3 linked regions of the Rattus norvegicus genome follow. The protein of the gene in region 2 binds, or shares a complex with, the protein of the main gene of each other region. Links are inferred from orthologs where the notes say so. Each region holds a gene or a part of one and is shown on either strand. Other genes may lie near its edges. The genes, in order: Capns1, Capn2 and Cast. A codon is read from its position in the direction of its gene.

Region 1 (5,693 bases), on a different chromosome or scaffold from region 2:
CGAGTAGCCCCAAGATTAGCTTCCAAGATCAGATATTCAAGTCCAGTGAGTTCTGGGTGGGTTGGCCAGAGACAAAACCACTGTGTCTCTCTGAAACTTGTCACCCAATCACCAGCAAGGTGTGCAGAACTGAAGACTTGGCTGCCCTCTGATGAATGGATATTTGATTGTCCCATCCCTTGCTGTTCCAGCTATTCTGCGGGCCCCCAGTCTGTGTGTGTGTGTCCAGGGCCAGAGGGCCACCACTAAGGAGAAACTGCCTTGGATTGAGTTCCCAAATTAAAATCAATGCACCAGGGTGCAATTTTAATTAAAAAAAAAAAAAAAAAAAAAAAAAAAACCACTGTGTCTCTCTGACCCTGTTTCCTTTCCTATTACATTGTCCTTATCTAACAAGGTATCTGTAAAGGTTGGGTCTCCTAATCCAGGTAAAGTTCTGGTGGTGTCATGTAGGTAGGCCTGTGTCCTCAGGTATGAAGGCTTCACCTCGTCTGTCCTCAACATACTCCCAGAAAACACCCTCTTCACCCAAGACATCCTCCAGACTGGCCCCAAAAGGATACATCCATAACAGCCACCATGCTCCGACAAGTGTCAATGCCGAACCCATCAGTTTTCAGATCTGGGTCTGAGGGGGGTTAGATGGGTGGACAGGTTGAAGGTCAGAGGTCAAAGATCATCCCAGCCCATACGCCTCTACACCTTCATCACTCCCTGACCCTGGTCACTTACGTCGGGTCACGACCTTGTTGAGGATATTCATGAGTTCTGTAGCGCTGACCTCCATGTCCTGATGGCAGAAGTTAAGTATGGTTCAAGGGAGATGGAAAGAGGTCTGGATACCATAAAACAAAACGGGGTGGGAACTTCCGGTTTTTCACAGTCAGGTAACACCGTGGAGCAGCCACGCAGTATACTTACGTCTCCAGCCAGCTGGACAAAAAGTTTCCTGAACTGACGTTCCTCTTCACTCTCGTTGGCCTCAATATTAGAGTAATGGCTACGTGGGGGCTGCAGAGAGAAGCGATTTCAGAACAGACGTGGAGAAACACGTCTCTCTCCTCATACCCAAGATCCCAGGGAAAAGTCAGGGAGGGGTGGGCAGTTTGAGGTGAGTGTAGCAAGTAGCGTGGCTGAGACAATAGGGGCCCTCAAAAAGGACATTCTTGCCGGCAGGGGAATTTTCCAAGGAAGGAAGGGGAGCCTTATACATAGGAATGGGTAAGATAATGCGGGCAACAGGCCTAGGGAGGAAGGGTCTCTAGGGCCGCTTACCGGGGGCTCCGGGTTGTACTGCGCAGCAGCCTCGCTGAGGGGAGACAAGGGTGAGTTAGCGCATGGGGGCAGAGCCTCCAACGGGCGGCAGAACGGTCAGTCAACCCCTCAAACTCCAGCCCTCCTCTTCCTTAAGGGGTCCCTCCTCCTCTCGTCTATCTCGTCGTTCTCACCTGGCCCAATCAACAGCTTTCTGCGGCTCCTCCTTTTCCTCCATCAGGCCAACCCCTCCCACCTCCCAAGGGCCCACCCCACGGAAGAATCCTTACCTTGCCCCAGGAACACCCACCAATCACAATGTCAGAAGCATCTTAGCCCCAATCAAAATCCCGAAAACCCACCAAACTTAACAGGGCCCGCCCCTTGAAGAACTCGCTTCTTAAGGGGTCGGTCTGCACCAGTTTCCCCTATGCCTCTATCTTCCTCAGGTCAGGTCTTTGTCCAGAGCCTGACTCCATCGCTCCTTTTGCAGATTATCTAGCTTCCCAACCTCTCCCCCATCAACACCTACTCCTCCCAGGAATCACTGCTTGGATCGCCAAAGATAATCAGGTGTCAGTCACCTGCTCTTACCCCAGCTAGGATTTTTATCCACCAACCCAATCAGCTCCCGACCCCACACAACCTTCTCTGGACCATTTCTTCTTTCGGGGGTTCTGATCTCTCCTATAACAGCAAGCTCCACTTAGGTCAAATCTTAAATCATGGAGCAACTTCAGATCCACTGGCTCCGCCCCCAGTGAAGACTGGATACAGTCTTATAGGATCATACCTTCCCCAAACACAGAAGAGTACCTCCTCCCCACCCCCAAGAAACTGCATCCTATTTATTGACCCACAGAAGCAAGTTTACTAACCCAGTTTTTAAAAAGTGACACCAGTCTCGTTGGGATCCCCTTAGGGCCACTTTTCCAGTTTGGACCAGCCCAACCTAATTAGGATTCCCATGTCGGACCTCTAAGTGAGCTTCTTTATAATTTGGCCCACCCTGCCCCTTTAGGCCCCGCCTTACCTGATGGCGCTAATGACTCCGCCCAGGATACGCATGGCTGTTCCACCGCCTCCGCCACCTCCTCCCAGTCCCATGCCGCCACCGCCGCCTCCACCGCCGCCGCCTCCAGCAGCTCCGCTGATCAGGCCTCCGAGCACATTGCCCAGGCCCCCGCCCAGACCCCCGCCTCCCCCACCGCCACCGCCGCCCTTCAAGAACGAATTCACCAAGAACATGTTTGCAGCAGAGTCCTGTAAAGAAAAGGGGGTGGGTCAGGTAGTCGTCTTGCCAAGAACCCAGCCCTTCCCGCAAAAAGAAAAAAAAAGAAAGCATTTCCGGCAATTAGATTGGGGACAGAACAGAGGCCTCGGGATGGGGGCAGAATCTGGACAGGTGACAGGAAGGTGCGAAACCTCCTAGGGTCTAGCAGGTACCCTGGCCCAGGCTTGACTGCAAACGTGGTCAATGAGGACAGGGGTAGAGCTGGACGAGCGTGGTGGCGCTCAACTGTAATCCCAGAAATTGGGAGGCTGAGGCTGGAGGATCAGTTCAAGGCCAACCTCGGCTACAGCGCCAGCCTGGATTACCCCTGTCTTGAGGCAGCGGGGAAACAGGGGATTCCCCATGTAAGGACCCCCACTCCCCAGTTGGGTAAGGTATACCGGACGTGTCTCAGATCCAGGCCTTCCAGAATTGAGCTCAGGGTAGGGGTGACCCAGGGCTGAGTCCAGGAAGTCCCTAATGTGGATTAGGACATTCAGGTAGTTTCGACAGAGGAACTACACTGTCATTAGGGATCTGTGGGACTCCGGCCTAAAATTATGGCTGTGCGCCCGGAGGATCCCGGATAACGGAGTTCTACACACCGCAAATTGGAACCAGGATCTCGGATCGTGGTTCTAGACGCCCCAGATAATTTATGGGTGCCTCTCTGATCTTTGGGGTTATATTTTTGATCCTGAGTTCCGGGATGGCAAGGAGTGCTCTGGAGGGAATGACCAGCGTCTGACAGGCCTGGTTGTTCGGATCTGAGAACACGGGTCCTAAGACCCCCAAGGCCACGACTTTAGGGTCTCGCCAGATCTGAGGACAGCGGATCCCGGGCAGCGGGGTGCAGGGGTGCTGGACTGAAGCGCCCCGTCTCACTTACGGATCCGGCGGTCCGCGGTCTTGCTCGCCCGCCGCTGGGCCTCCCGCTGTGTCCGGCTCTGGAGGGCGGGGCCGGTGACTCAGGCAGCTCCGGGTTAAAGCCGGCTCGCCACCCAGCCGCGGTCCGCGCGGTCCTAGAGCCGCCATTGCAGACTGCGCCTGCGCAGGAGGCCCCGCCCTACGTAGCGGGCTATGATTGTGTCTCTACCTAGCTCAGCCCTCCCCGTACACACACTGCTGGTAATTCAACGCTCTCCAGATTTAATAGCTATGAGTACGAGTAGACCATTCTAACGCCCAGGCACTGGAGCCTCCAGGAACTAGATCCAGGCTACCTGGTCACCTTTGCAGTATATAGTTGCAAAAAAGGACTTCAGTTATTGTCATTCATTCATTCATCGTGCACTTTGAGATAGAGTTTTGTTCAACACCCTAAGCTGATCTAAAGCCCTGGCTCACCTCAAACTCGAAGCAATCCTCCTGCTTCTGCTTCTCCAATGCTAGGACTCTAAATCTTTAGTTTACCTTCAGTTTGTGCCTCCCACCCAGGTCGCCTTTTGGCTTCTAGTCTGGCTGTCTGGCCGCTCCGTTGGGACTATGTAAACCTTGGTTTGAGCCTGTATTGCTCATCCCTAAAACAGTGACCTGGTGTCTCTGAGTAATGATTTCCTCATCTGTAAGGAGGGAACACAGCCAGGCGTGATGACGCACACCTGTAACACCAGCCCTTGGAGGTGGGGGCGGCTACATGAGACCCTCGAGGACGTTAGACACAGGTTCCCCTGGATGAGCCCCAGAATTAAGTGATAAATACAGGGAAAATGGCAGCTCTCCTGTTAGTCCCCAGGTCACCATATTGTTCCCTCAGCTAGGAGCTCACCCCGATCCCTCAGCTCATTTACTCTTGCCCATCCTTAAGCAATATCGACAAGTAACTGCCAGTTCCTCCGTGCTCTGCGCTCACCAGGTTGTGTGCCCTCGCGGCAGGACTGTGGGACAGACGCTGTTATTGTCCCCATTCTATATATAGGTAAACTGAGGTTAAACAACCAGTCTGCCTTACCTGTTCAAAGAATCTCCAATAATTTAATGTGATCATCAGTCAAATAAGATCTCAACGGACAAAATTGCAATGGCACTAACACCACCTAAGGGCTTGCTGGGAGCAAGCCAGGTTAATTGTTGCTCAGGCCTGTGTGTGTGGGAAGCAAGACTTAACCTTAGCGAAACTGGAAGCTCTGAAAGGCGGGATCACAGAGGGTGGTGACCCAGATCTAAGCCAGAGCGGATAAATGATTTGGTGATGACTAATGTGGATTCCCTCTCTGCCACACCCCTCTGCCACACCCCTCTGCCACACCCCTCTGCCACACTAAGCAGTCTGACCTCAGGCTCAACTCACTGGCACAAGCCCTGCCCTCTGCCTACAAATACTCCTGTGTTTGGATTTGACTGTCTGTGTCCTCCGCTTTGGATGGGAGCTCAGGCGTCTCTCACTTGGGAAGTCCTCTTTGTCCTCACCTTCACCCAGGACTCGGTGAGGCTACCAGCTTGGTGCCCTCAGAACATCAGTAAACGGGATGATACTTGCCCAGGGCCCAGAAGACTAAGGCAGGTGAGCTACACCACAGGGCCCTATCTCAAAACAATTTAAAAATGCTTCAGGGAGCCTATCGCAGACTGCCTTTGATACCAGTAGTCTGGGGGCTGAGGCAGGCTGAACTCTTGAGTCTGAGGCCAGCCTGGTCTACACAGTGAGTTCCAGAGAACAGATGGGGCTACATAGTGAGACCTTGACTCAAACAAAGAAAGATTCACGGGTGCTTTGCTAGGGGATGACTCAGGAATTAAGAGTATGGATTGCTCTTCCAGAGGACCTGGATTCAATTCTGAGCACCCATAGGCAGCTCATAGCTGAAGTCCACTTCTAGGAGATCTAGCACCCTCTTCTGGCTCTAAAGGCACCAACACAAATGTGGTACAAAGACATGCATGCAAGCAAAGCACACATACAAACAAAAATAAAACCCATTTTTCACTACCCATATTGCCCTCTAATTCTGTCTCCCTGACTCCCAATTCCCGGCATCTGTGAGCTCTCCTATCGTTCCTCTGTCAATCCAACTTACCATCTGGTAACTCCCTGAAGTACTTTTCAGTGATTTTTGATCCCCGTGTGTATATTTTGTGAGGTGGTATCATATAGCCCAGGCTAGCCTCAATCTCATTGTTTAACAGAATGTTTTGAACTGATCTTCCTGCCTCCATCCGCTAAGTC
Region 2 (5,500 bases):
ATCATGACAGCTGGGAGGACCTCATGGGCCAGCCTTAGATGATGCTGGGCCACTCGTCACTGTGGACTGGCATGGCCACTGCCCTCAGTATGGCTGTGGTCATGGTCTATGTCATCTCTTTGCAGTGGAGAGCTCTCTTGCCAGTGCTATGACATTCTCTCGGGAAGAGTTATCAGCTCCCAAGCCCACAACATGGCTAACCGGCTCCCTTGCCTGTCCTGCTTTCTCTGGAAGTCACCTTTAATCCCTTCCTCTTTCGTGATTCAACCTTTAGCAAACTCAAGTTGTTCACAGCCAAACAACTCTTAAATCAAGTCACGGGTGTTTGACAGGACAGGTCAAGACAGGTAGTCCAGCCATGCCACGGCTCCAGTCCTTATTTGTTTTGAGAAAATTTGACACTCCTAAGCTTTGGTCTCTCCAACTGTATGAAGATGTGTGGTGCATAGCCCGCTTGCCCTAGGCAGTGTCCCTGAAGTGGCTCTGGAATTCTGTTTTTTCTACTCAGAAGGTCCACGGGCACTGTCACCTGTTGAAGGACATTTCTGCCCTCCGTGGGTTCAGAGACAGAAACTAAGTATACTGTGCCTGGAATAAAAGAGGTGTTCAATCACTGCTCATCGACTGAATGGAAGGTCCGTGGACTCAGTATGTGTGTGGGTGGTGAACGTGCCTCAGCTTTGAGTTCCTGCTTTGACTTCCCCTTAATGATGAATTGTAGCCTGGAACTGTAAGCCAGCTGTTCCCCTTAGTTGCTTTTGCTTAGGGTGTCTTATAACCACAGAAATGATACTAGGATAAGAAGTTGTAAAACAGTAAGCAAATGTAAGGAACACGTTCTCCTGTCTGTGAGTCGTCTCCCCAGCCGGATGTCATCTGAGGTTCATAATGACTGTACATTTGTTCATTCATTCGTTCTCCAATTAGTTGCTGACTTGTTGTTCATGGATGTCCCAATGCCTGGGCTAAGGTAAGCACTCCCTACATGCTGGTGAGTGATTGAATGAGTGAATCAATGAGTGAGTGAATGAATCCTGAGAAGGGACACTACCCTGGCAAGACACTGAGAGCACATGGCAAATAACACACAGCAGCTCAGCCAAGCAAGAAAACATGTGACTGCGTTGGTTCATGGTGACAACTCCAGGACAGAAATGAGCATTGGACAGAGAACAGCAGGGTGGAAAAGGACTCTCGGAAAGAATGTGAATGAGCCAGACTTGCAGGAAGAGCATGCCTGGGAGATGAGAAGGGTAAGAGAGAAGAACGGGGTCTCCAGGAAGGGGACACCAGCCATGGCAGCTGCCCCAAGGGTGCTAGGGAAGAGAGAAAGCAGAGAGGTCTGGTTTGTTTTATTTTTATTTCATTTAATTTTGAGACACAGTCTTACTTTGTAGCTCAGGTTGGCCTCGAACTTACTAAGCAACCAAAGCTACAAAGTATCAAGGGTGTGTACCTCCACGCCCAGCTGAGGTGAGGAAGAGAGAGCCAGTGAGCCATCCAAGGTACCCAGGTGCTCTGGGTCCTGCTCCACAGAGACTTTTAAATTTTGAGTCAAGATCTCATGTAGTCCAGGCTGGCCTCAAATGCACTGCATAACCCAGACCAGTCTCCGTCGTTTATTATTTAGTGTGTGTGTGTGTGTGTGTGTGTGTGTGTGTGTGTGTGTGTACGCGCGCGCACGTGCCTGTGAGACTCTGCTTGTGTGCCACAGTGTGCATGTGGAGGTCAGAGAACAATTTTTGGAAGCTGGTTCTCTTTTTCCAGGTGGGTTCTGGGATAGAACTAAGTAGGTTGAGCCATCTTTATGGCCCCTGGCTTTGAATCTCTGATCTCCTCCTGTCGCCGCCTCCTGAGTGCTGGGATTACAGGCATACATTACCATACTCCTGATTTTATGTGGTGCTTGGGTTAGAACCCAGGGCTTCAGGCGTACTGAGTAAAGACTTTACCAGCTGAGCCACACCCCAGCTAGTCCAGGGTACTTCGGACTAGATTCAGGATAACAAAAGCAGCCTGGGAGAACCAAGAGTATGAAAGCAGGGTATGAATGTCCATTGTCCTAACAGGAATCTAAAAGTTTAGATTTCCTCTCTGTTCCCTGGAAAAGTCAAGCGGGGTCCCATGGGATGAGGACCAGCAGGGCTTCTACTGAACCCTTAAACCATAAGGGAAAGGGAAGGGCTCAAGGGCAGAGGCCCTGAGGGTTGGAACAAGAGCATCTAGGAGTCGAGCAGAGGTTACCAGGTGAGGACTCTAGGCCAGCAAAATAATGAGTAACAGGATCATTGGAGCCCTTCGATTCTTTAAGTTACCTGGGCAATATTGGAGGAGGGATCCTCTAACTGCACTTTGAGAAATAGACTAGATTCAAGTTGGATAAATGTAACGTTTTACCTCATGTACTTGAGACCACCTATGTTAGCCAGCGCTAGTCTGTGACCGCCCCTTACCCCTCACCCCAGCAATCCAGAGTCTTCTACCTAACTCCGATATCCCCACCCCACCCCCCACAGCTGACCCATGTCTCCTCCCTCCGTCTCACCACTAAAGTCCAATAAAAGTTTCACCCCAGCGGCCCTGCTGCTGTGTGAAGCCGAAGCCGAAGGCCCAGGGCGTGTCCACTTAATGGGATTTGGGGTCCTGTCCTGCGAAGCGCTCTGGGCGCAGCTTGAGACAGGTCCACTGGGTGGGCCTCAGCCTGCATCTGGAGTCCCCTTAGCAGCAATCGAGGAGCACTACCAAGTCAGGACTACCAAACCCGGTAGCCTGGGGCTCGCAGCCTCCCTCTGGAGCCTCCCGGAACCCCGAGTGCCCTTCCAGGCCATCCCGGCCCTACCCGTTCCCCTCGCGCTTCCTACCGTGGGCCGCTTCCATTCGATGCCCCGAGTTTTGCTGGAGTAGGGCCCCAACTCCTTGAAGCCCAGGGACGACGGCAGGGCGGGGAAGGAAGGATCCTGGAAGAGCGCCCCGGCCTCCAGGCACTCGTTCCGCAGTGTCTCGTAGTCCTGGTTGAGGTACTTGATGGCTCTCTCGTGAGACCCCAGCCCCTCGGCCGCCTCGCGGTCTTTGGCCAGTTTCATCGCGATGCCCGCCATGGTAGCGATCGGGATGGCGCACAGCACAGAGAGAGGGGTCGCGGAGAGGCGGGGCGCAGCACTCGGTTGGGGCGCGGCCAAGCCCGGGGCGCTGCAGCGGACTGCGGGAGCTGCCGCTGCGGGGATGATTCACCGGCGGGAAGCGCCTGGGCCGCGCGCGGGGTGTGGCCTCCGCCTCTCCAGGCCTGCTCGGCGCTGGGCTCCGGACGCGGCCAGCCGGCGACCTGCACAGCGACAGCCCGACCGTGGAGGACTGAGGGGCCAATGCTGCCACCTTCGGACAGATCCCGGGATGGCGAGGCCCGGTTGCCGTGGAGGAGGGTGGGGGAGGGCACTTGCAAGTTGGGGTGCGAAAGTTGAGACTCAACGGGAAGAAGGCAGGGTGAAACTCAGCAATGACTGTCCAGGAAACAGCAAATGAGTCAGGAGCGGACGAGGGAGTGAGCGCGCGAAGACCGAGCCAGTTACCACTCACTGGGCTCAGGATCGGAGAGCTCTGCAGGCCTGGGCACATGTGCTACACCCCAACATCTCTGAGAAATGGCTACCGATGTGTCCATCTTACAGATGAGAAACTGAGCCTCATAGAAGCTCAAAGATGTAACCCCCACGAATTAAAGCTGGTTAGGCATTGGCAACACACGGATTTTAAGATTCCAGGGCTTCTGTAGTTACTGAACAGCTACTCATGCATAAGTAGGGCTGTACAATTTGACAGAAAACATCTATGCGTGTTAAATCTAAATTTCAAGAAAAGGGGGAAGATCACTCGAGGCAAACCTATGCTAGAATGATAGTGTGGTGCTTAGTTAAAACTCAGATTTACCTGGGAGGGTTTATTGAGTTGCTGCTGGGAGAGCATTTAGAACAGAGGCCCTACTGGTGGCAGGTACCACGGTACCATTTGTCCAGGGAGAGTTCCGGAGTTGCAGCTCACACACTGAACATAGCTCTGGAATGAATACTGGGCTGGCTTAGTATCTGCTCGTTCTATGAGTGGTTTAAAGCACGGGGTCTCCACCGGAAGCAACCCACACCCACCAGTGTGACCCAAGAGGCTCTTGACCCTAACTGCAGGCTTTCTTCATATTGTTGCAACTGGGGAAAAAGAGGGTCCTGGCCTCTACTGTGTGGAAGCTGGGTGCTACTAAAGGTCGAGTGCATCGCTCTACAGAGAGAACAGCAAGAAGAATGCAGTTTGCAATGTCTCTGTGCCAGGTTGAGAAACCCTGGTTTGGGCCTCATCTTGGTTCAGCATTGCATGGTTTCTTAGTTTGTAACTCTGGAAGCTGCAGGAGACTGTAGCAACTTGAAATATCTATGTGGTATGCAAATGACTCTCTTCCAGGAGGAATCAAAGTGTCTCCCTGTGGCAAGGCGAGGGCTTGTCTGTACTGTCACTTCACAAGTGTCTGTCTGCTGTCACCCCCCCCCACTTCCCTTTTGAATCCTGAGCCCAGAAGAAATCAGGGTGGGGCCAAAGGAAATCAGACGGTGGGAAAAAATAAACAGCTTCCGGGGAAAGCTATGAAGCTTGGAAACTATCACGATGCAAACAAATGCCTAGTGTTGAGCACGGCGGCCATGTCTTTAAATCCCAACACCGGGAGGCAGGGACAGGCAGATCTCCATGAATTCCAGGCCAACCTGGTCTGCATGGAGAGTTCCAGGCTAGCTGGGCTACACAGCGAGACCCTGGCTAACAAACAAAACATGATGTGTCTGGTTATTCCATCTGTATTTGTCAAATAAAATCGCTTAAAATGTGTTCATTCTGTATCAATACGACAGCCATAATATTAGCTGTAAGAACTGTTCATACCTATATTAGCCTTGTAACTGTATCTATTCTTGTAACTGTATCTATTCTTGTCTTTAACCTCGTGTCTACTGTTGCCCAAGGCTGACCCACTGCTTCGCTTGCTGTAACTTCATTTGGGGTTCCTTCTTTCTTTCCTGTCTCCACAGCTCTGCCTCTCCCGGGCTGGCACACACACAAATGAAACAGGGCTTCCAACCCACCTTCACCAGCTTCTGGGAAGGGGATGATGATAGCTGGAGCATTCCCCTGCTTGACTAGTCATTTCCCAGTGTGTCTCCAGCTTCTCTTCCAGATTCTCCCCGACTCTGTCCCTCCCCTGCCACAGAAAAAGGAGCCTCCTCTCCCTTATTCTTCTGTTTGAATCTGAGATGGCTTTCAGAGTCCTGAGAGTGGGCCATTCTGCCTAGGATCATGGTCTTTCTTTGAAAAGACCATCTCTTCCTACCTAAATTTGACTTTATTTGATATCCTCTGTCTTCAGGTTTCAACTCCCAGCACATTGTCTGATAGGCATACTGCTTGTCACCAGGCTCTGCCCTGTCCTGTGTGACTGAAGGAGTAGAAGACTACCACAGTAGTC
Region 3 (5,756 bases), on a different chromosome or scaffold from region 2:
GGACTCTTCCTTGCCTCTTGTAACTTTTGGACTAGATATACATATCTTGGGCCAACCTAATCTTTGAGAAGTACTCCTTGTCTTGGCTTCTGGAGTCTAATACTCTATCAGTTTCCTTCTGCTCCTGCAGTTCCCTCTCAGCTCCTTTATTTCTTTCTTGATTTCATTTTACCCATTTCCTAATAAAAGTGGAAGGTTTCTGAATCAGAGAGGATGAAAAGGATGTAAAAGATGAAGTCTGCCTATAGAGGATCTCAACTCTTTGGCATCAAGCACATGATAAAGGAACAAATCAGAGGAGGCTCTCTCCTGGGTTGACCACCAGTCCCTCCAGAAAGGCAATATGCCCCTTGTTGGGATCCTACAGCGCTCCTTGGAAGATTTCTTCATGACTGAGTGTTCTGTTTGTTTGTTTGTTTGTTTATCTTTTTTTAAAATTAACTTGAGTATTTCTTATATACATTTCAAGTGTTATTCCCTTTCCCGGTTTCCGGGCAAACATCCCCCCAATCCCTCCCCCTCCCCTTCTTTATGGGTGTTCCCTTCCCCACCCTCCCCCCATTGCTGCCCTCCCCCCAACAATCTAGTTCACTGGGGGTTCAGTCTTAGCAGGACCCAGGGCTTCCCCTTCCACTGGTGCTCTTATTAGGATATTCATTGCTACCTATGAGGTCAGAGTCCACGGCTTAGCATAGGTCTCTAATACCTCCTTGTATCAAGAACCTGGTGCTAGATTTTTTTTTTTTAAGGATAAATAGTTGCAATATCCACAGACATTGTTATAGGAAATGCTGCCTCTATCTGTGCAGGGATTCTCTAAGATCCCCAAATGTGAAGACCTTCCTTTCATGGTTTCAGTAACTCTCAGTTACAAAGCAAAATACTTCAACTTCTGACATTAGTTTTTACTCATAGCCATTAATGTGCTGGGAAACAGTGTTTGACTTAAATACTGAGTCAAGCAAAACCTGAGAAATAGCATTGTTAAGCTTTATGGATTTTCATAACTTGTGGCAAATTGTAGTCAGTAAGTTATAGAATGCCAAATAGATCTGTTGATCTGAACGGAGACCCTCAGCTTCATAAGACAAAAAGATGAGAGTGTTCCCTTTATTTCCTGCAGTGTCTCTTCTCTTCCTGTCCACACTGTACCAACACCCTCTACATTTCTCTTTTCTTGTCTATAATCAACAGTACCCATGAAACACCACATTCCAGAAGCACATTTGTCTTTATTTACATACTGTATATTTCCCATTGCCACCCAATCAATCACCAACTAAATCCAAATAACTTGTAAGTTCCTGGGTCCCAGGGGAGTCCCAAGTTTAGTCTTTGCATATCCTTCTCTCTACTATTCCTCCCATAGGGCTTTACATAGAAGACTCTCAATGAATGCAAAATTAACTGGTTTAAATTCAATTTTTAAATATTCTGCTGAAAAACATAAGACTTTTTTTTTTCAGTCTAACGATTTTCCCTATTTTGGATGTAAATGATGCATGCCACCAACCAATCTTTGCTAATGACAGTTTGTACACCAAAATGTTTCAATTTATGTATGCATTCTTGCACTGCTACCTATCTTTTGAAATATTGGTGACATTATACATAGAGCACTTCACGAAGAAATGCATAAAATCCAAGAACATTGCTAATTAATTTGTGAGAAGTTGAGAGATATCCCTAAAATTGAAGGGGCACTGGACAACCATAATTCTGTTCTGCCAAGCTCCTTATAGCATGGCAAATCTTGCTCTGTAATGGGGCTTCTCTCTTGTCATCTGTCTAAAACCTAGCTCTCTAGCATGTTGACGAAAAACCACAAATCACAATGCTATTGTGGTGGCACAGGCTTTTTTTGTGGCTGGCACTAGTCAGCAGTATCTGCAGGCTGACAAACCCTTTGGATGAGTACTCAAAAAGATTGTTAAATTTCACTTCCAGCCCCAAACCAGGAAGTACTGCCTAAAATGAAGCCAAGTCAAAAGCAATTCAACATCAGAAATGTAGGCTCCAGAAAAGGAGATGACTTTAAAGTCCGTGATTGTCTGCTGATTTGGATTAGAGCAGGCAGGCTAGCTTCTGCTTGTAAACCATTAGTACACTTACAGAATTGCCTATATAAATAATCAAATACAGGACATAGCACACTCAGAAGTACACAAACACTGAGAGACCAATTTCTTCTCAAGATCCTTTCTCTTATCTTTAGTTCGGATTTAGGCTAGAGTTGAATTAGTGACAGATTGCAGAAAAGTGTCTAATTCTCCAAATTCTTAGGAAAGGAAGTCTAGACCACGCCCCAGTTTAGCTCTCTGGTTACACAATGTCTAGATTGGTCTGGACAAGTCCACCCGGGAACTGCAACCTCCAGCTTCCCCAATTTGTGATCCACTGAGAACCCTGCAGTTTTGGGGCCAGTCTGGGGAGGGTCTTGTGTACGAACCCTGAGCAGAGGGCGTTAAACTGCAGTTCAGGGTTGCTGACAAATTGGGCAGTGAGCGGCCCACAGGAAGAGGAGGGCCTAACCGGGCGAGGGGGAGCTGGCCCGGGCTCAGGGCTGGGTCGGAAAAGCTGCCTCACTGCGCCGTTCCGCTCCACCGCCCCGAGCTCTGGCCTGGGCCTCCCGTACAATTTCTCTGCGCTTTCCCAGAGGCTGCACTCGCAGCAGTTTCACCAAATAATGTCCCGGCCCGGCCCGAAGCCCGCCGCCTCTTCCAGGCCCCGGCGCGGGGCGGCAGCTAGCCACACCCAGGAGGTGAGTAGTACTCCGAACCGAGCCGCGGGGCAAGCGGCAGGGGGCCGTAGTCCAGGAGTGCCTCGCAGCAGTTCTGGGGCGTTGCCCCTCCTTGGCACCTTCCAGATAGGAAAAGGATCAGAGCTCTGTGACTGCGGGCAAGCAGGTGGCCCCAGGCTCTTTAAATTTGGTAGTGTCACGAGTTGGGTGGAGGGGCTCTTGGAGCAACACGGGCTAGTGAGACCAAGGCAGTGCACAAGGCATGGAAGCAGAATAAAGTATACTCCGGACTTTCGGAGTGAGTGGGCTCGTACGGCACGGCAGAGGGCCTCTGCCCTCCATGTGAAGTCACCCCCCACCCCCACCCTCACACACTTTCCATGTAGGGAGTGGCGGCTGAAGAACTGACACACACCTCTTTCCTAATTAGCCAGATCGGACAGGGCGGGACCACGCTAGCTGTGGGCGGGTCCTATCGCTCCTTTCCCTTGTGCCCTCCCACCGGGCAGCTGCGTAACACCCTGTGCCCTGTCAGAAAGGTCCCAGCCAGGCAGAGAGTCGTAGTGGTGCCACCAGCACCTCACTCTTCGTCCTGGACAGCTTCCCAGCAGCGCGGCTCGGAGCACGTCAGGGTTGTCGCCATGGCATTCGCAAACTGGTGGTACAAGACGGTAAATAGAAGGGACCGAGCTTGGGCAGCACTGGGAAGGGAGTGTATTTACCTCGCCCCACTGGCAGGTTGAGGAAATATGGCATGAAGTTGGAGGGCCAAGGGTGAGACCGGGTGAGAACTCCTTGCAGACCTTCTGGTTAAGCTCGGGCAGAAGCTGGAGGCTCTCCCTTCCGTGGTATGCGGACGCATACTGGGCGGTACAGTCTGGGCAGCGAGGTGCACCAGGCTCAGCTCGCATTCCCAAATTGAATGGACAGCAATCCTTAATTTCTGCCCTTTGAAACACTTACCTGGATACATAGAAAAGAAGCACTGAAGCCCAGGTTTAGTTTTTCGACTGCTAAGTAAAGATAAAAACTTACAAAGAATGGTGGGTGAAGCAGTTTCAAACTCGAAAGAGGAGGATGGGGAATGGAAAAGAAGAAAAGATCAGAGAACAATTGTGATCAATTAATACTCTGGCGGGAAGGGGGATGGGGGAGAGAGAGAGAAATGAGTATATGTCACTACTCTGTATTACTTTGCAAGAGGACAAACGTGTTCCATTTGGTTAGTGGTTAGTCTGTCCTACCAAGTATGTGTTATACCCAGTCAAACTGGAACTTGTAATGTTTTGAAACCAGGAAGCATGGTTTTTACATTACATTTAAAAAAGAAAAAACAACAACAAAAACAAAAGTTTCCAACCCTTTGTTGACAGAGAGTCATGAGGTGATTTATGGTGAGAATTTCAAAATCTTAGGTCCACCTTCTCAGGAGGTGGTATGGACAAAGTAAAGATGCAGTAATCAGATAATCTTTGCATCTACAAACTTTGGGTTAGAATTAGAAAATAGGCATTGAGAACTGATTGATCATCTAAGTGTGCTAGCCTTCAAGTGCACTGTAGAGTTCTTAACTCAAGTGGCAATGATTTCAATGTGTGAGTCTTTATGTTTTCATATCTGTCAAATACCAAATATTTACATAAGGACTATTCAGCAGTAGACATGCCACATATGTGTTTTCAGTGATGTTTCTTCATGAATGTTCTCCCTTACACTTTTCTGTGCTGTTTAAATGTATAGTTTTATTAATTTGCTGAGAGCGTATGTTTGCATTGAGTCATGATTGTCCCAGAATTCTTATCAAAATGCACCCATTAAATTATCTGCAAATATGGGTGGCAGGTGTTCAACTAACATCAGATTTCTCTGTCCAAGCTTGGCGTTGTCTAAAGGAAATTGTGCCAGCTACTTAGATGAAGATAGCTTAGATCTTTGCTTTTAATACCTACTGCACTGTGTGAGACACTTTGATATTTTTGCCCAAATTCCACTACAAGCCAGTTTGGGGATTATTATTTAAGACTTCTGCTTGTGCTAACTTTCTAGAACTTTCAGCATGCTTGTGATCAAGTTTTGACTTTTCTCCAGCAGAAAAGTACTATGATACCCAAAAGGGCTTTAAAAATTTGTAACAGTCCCATTAACAAAAATATTTTAAGAAGTCAAGTATGTTAATAACATTTTTGTTAACTGGCTCTATCCTAGGTGACATTTAAGTATGTAATCATGTGCTAAAAATGACAAGTCACCTCTTTTTGTGCTAATTACTCAAAAATCTGGCTGTGCAGTTATGTTATACTCACAGTATCTCCCAATTCCCATATTTCAGAGTTTCACTTGCCACTGTGGCTAGTGAAATAACACAGGCAGGAAAGCTCTAAGTGGCTTGTTCCTAATCTTCTTTTGTTTTTATTGTTGTTGTTTGTTTGTTTGTTTGTGTTTTTTACATTTCATTTTGAGAATGAAATATAGTACTTTCTCTCAACAATATACATATATAATTTGCCTCTTCAAGGCATGCAAAGTCTGCACAAATCTTTCTCCAATGCCAATTTTAACATATAGATACATATAAATGCATATGTTCTTATATTCTGTGCATATATAAAATATGTGTACATATTTTCATATGTGCAATGTATATATTAAGTAGTTTTGTTTATGTGCCTATGAATAAAAGTGTGCTGTTAAACCCTTTTATCACATATTCAGCCACCAATCAAAAATAATTTTTAAAAATTGAATCTTCATTGAACATGTATCAATTTCTTTTGTCATTATTCCCCAAGCAATATAATATAAAAATGTGGATATGCCTTAATATTGGGTATCATAGAGCACAGGAAGACAGTGAATAGTTTAGATGTGAACATGCTATTTCATACAAGCCATTTGAGCATCTGCAGGATTTGATTTCTCAAAACATTTCTAAAACCAGTTTCCGAAAGATACCAATGGAATTCTACACACACCGCACACACATCCTTGTAGAATACTTCTAGTGAGTCCTATAATT

The links.
Region 1: the proteins of Capn2 (region 2) and Capns1 are in contact, whole or in part, in a crystal structure (PDB 1KFU), measured with the Homo sapiens proteins. The link is inferred for Rattus norvegicus from reciprocal best matches to the Homo sapiens genes CAPN2 and CAPNS1. Residues at the interface, in NP_001739.3 of Homo sapiens: Ala2, Gly3, Ile4, Ala5, Lys7, Leu8, Ala9, Arg12, Glu13, Glu16, Phe60, Arg366, Arg416, Arg417, Arg418, Arg420, Asp494, Ile516, Phe551, Glu575, Lys578, Val581, Asp582, Asp585, Gly588, Ser589, Gly590, Gln641, Leu642, Gln644; in NP_001003962.1 of Homo sapiens: Thr85, His86, Ser88, Asp111, Asp112, Met113, Glu114, Ser116, Thr118, Asp142, Arg145, Ser146, Ala149, Val150, Met151, Asp152, Ser153, Asp154, Thr155, Thr156, Gly157, Gly160, Phe161, Glu163, Asn206, His208, Leu209, Met212, Ile213, Arg215.
Region 3: the proteins of Capn2 (region 2) and Cast are in contact, whole or in part, in a crystal structure (PDB 3BOW), measured with the Rattus norvegicus proteins. Residues at the interface, in NP_058812.1 of Rattus norvegicus: Glu62 (codon at 2,915), Leu63 (codon at 2,912), Ser68 (codon at 2,897), Lys69 (codon at 2,894), Gln99, Gly100, Ala101, Leu102, Gly103, Trp106, Lys161, Asp162, Leu165, Leu166, His169, Ser196, Gly197, Gly198, Thr200, Ser241, Asp243, Ile244, Thr245, Asp249, Ser250, Glu251, Ala252, Val253, Val259, Lys260; in NP_445747.2 of Rattus norvegicus: Glu571, Leu572, Asp573, Ala575, Leu576, Asp577, Glu578, Leu579, Ser580, Ser582, Leu583, Gly584, Gln585, Arg586, Gln587, Pro588, Leu596, Asp597, Asp598, Lys599, Val600, Lys601, Glu602, Lys603, Ile604, Lys605, Ala606, Glu607, His608, Ser609.

The regions. Positions count from the first base shown.
Region 1 is NC_086019.1:94,578,768-94,584,460, forward strand, and holds the start of Capns1 (calpain small subunit 1), read right to left. Parts: upstream 3,455-5,693; 5' UTR 3,417-3,454; intron 2,518-3,416; 5' UTR 2,503-2,517; coding exon 2,288-2,502; intron 1,310-2,287; coding exon 1,276-1,309; intron 1,012-1,275; coding exon 922-1,011; intron 791-921; coding exon 733-790; intron 629-732; coding exon 564-628; intron 1-563. UniProt on the Homo sapiens protein: Regulatory subunit of the calcium-regulated non-lysosomal thiol-protease which catalyzes limited proteolysis of substrates involved in cytoskeletal remodeling and signal transduction. Essential for embryonic development.
Region 2 is NC_086031.1:96,729,102-96,734,601, forward strand, and holds the start of Capn2 (calpain-2 catalytic subunit), read right to left. Parts: upstream 3,525-5,500; 5' UTR 3,099-3,524; coding exon 2,862-3,098; intron 1-2,861. UniProt on the Homo sapiens protein: Calcium-regulated non-lysosomal thiol-protease which catalyzes limited proteolysis of substrates involved in cytoskeletal remodeling and signal transduction. Proteolytically cleaves MYOC at 'Arg-226'.
Region 3 is NC_086020.1:5,813,770-5,819,525, reverse strand, and holds the start of Cast (calpastatin), read left to right. Parts: upstream 1-2,539; 5' UTR 2,540-2,686; coding exon 2,687-2,761; intron 2,762-3,230; exon of another isoform or gene 3,231-3,381; coding exon of another isoform or gene 3,382-3,411; intron 3,412-5,756.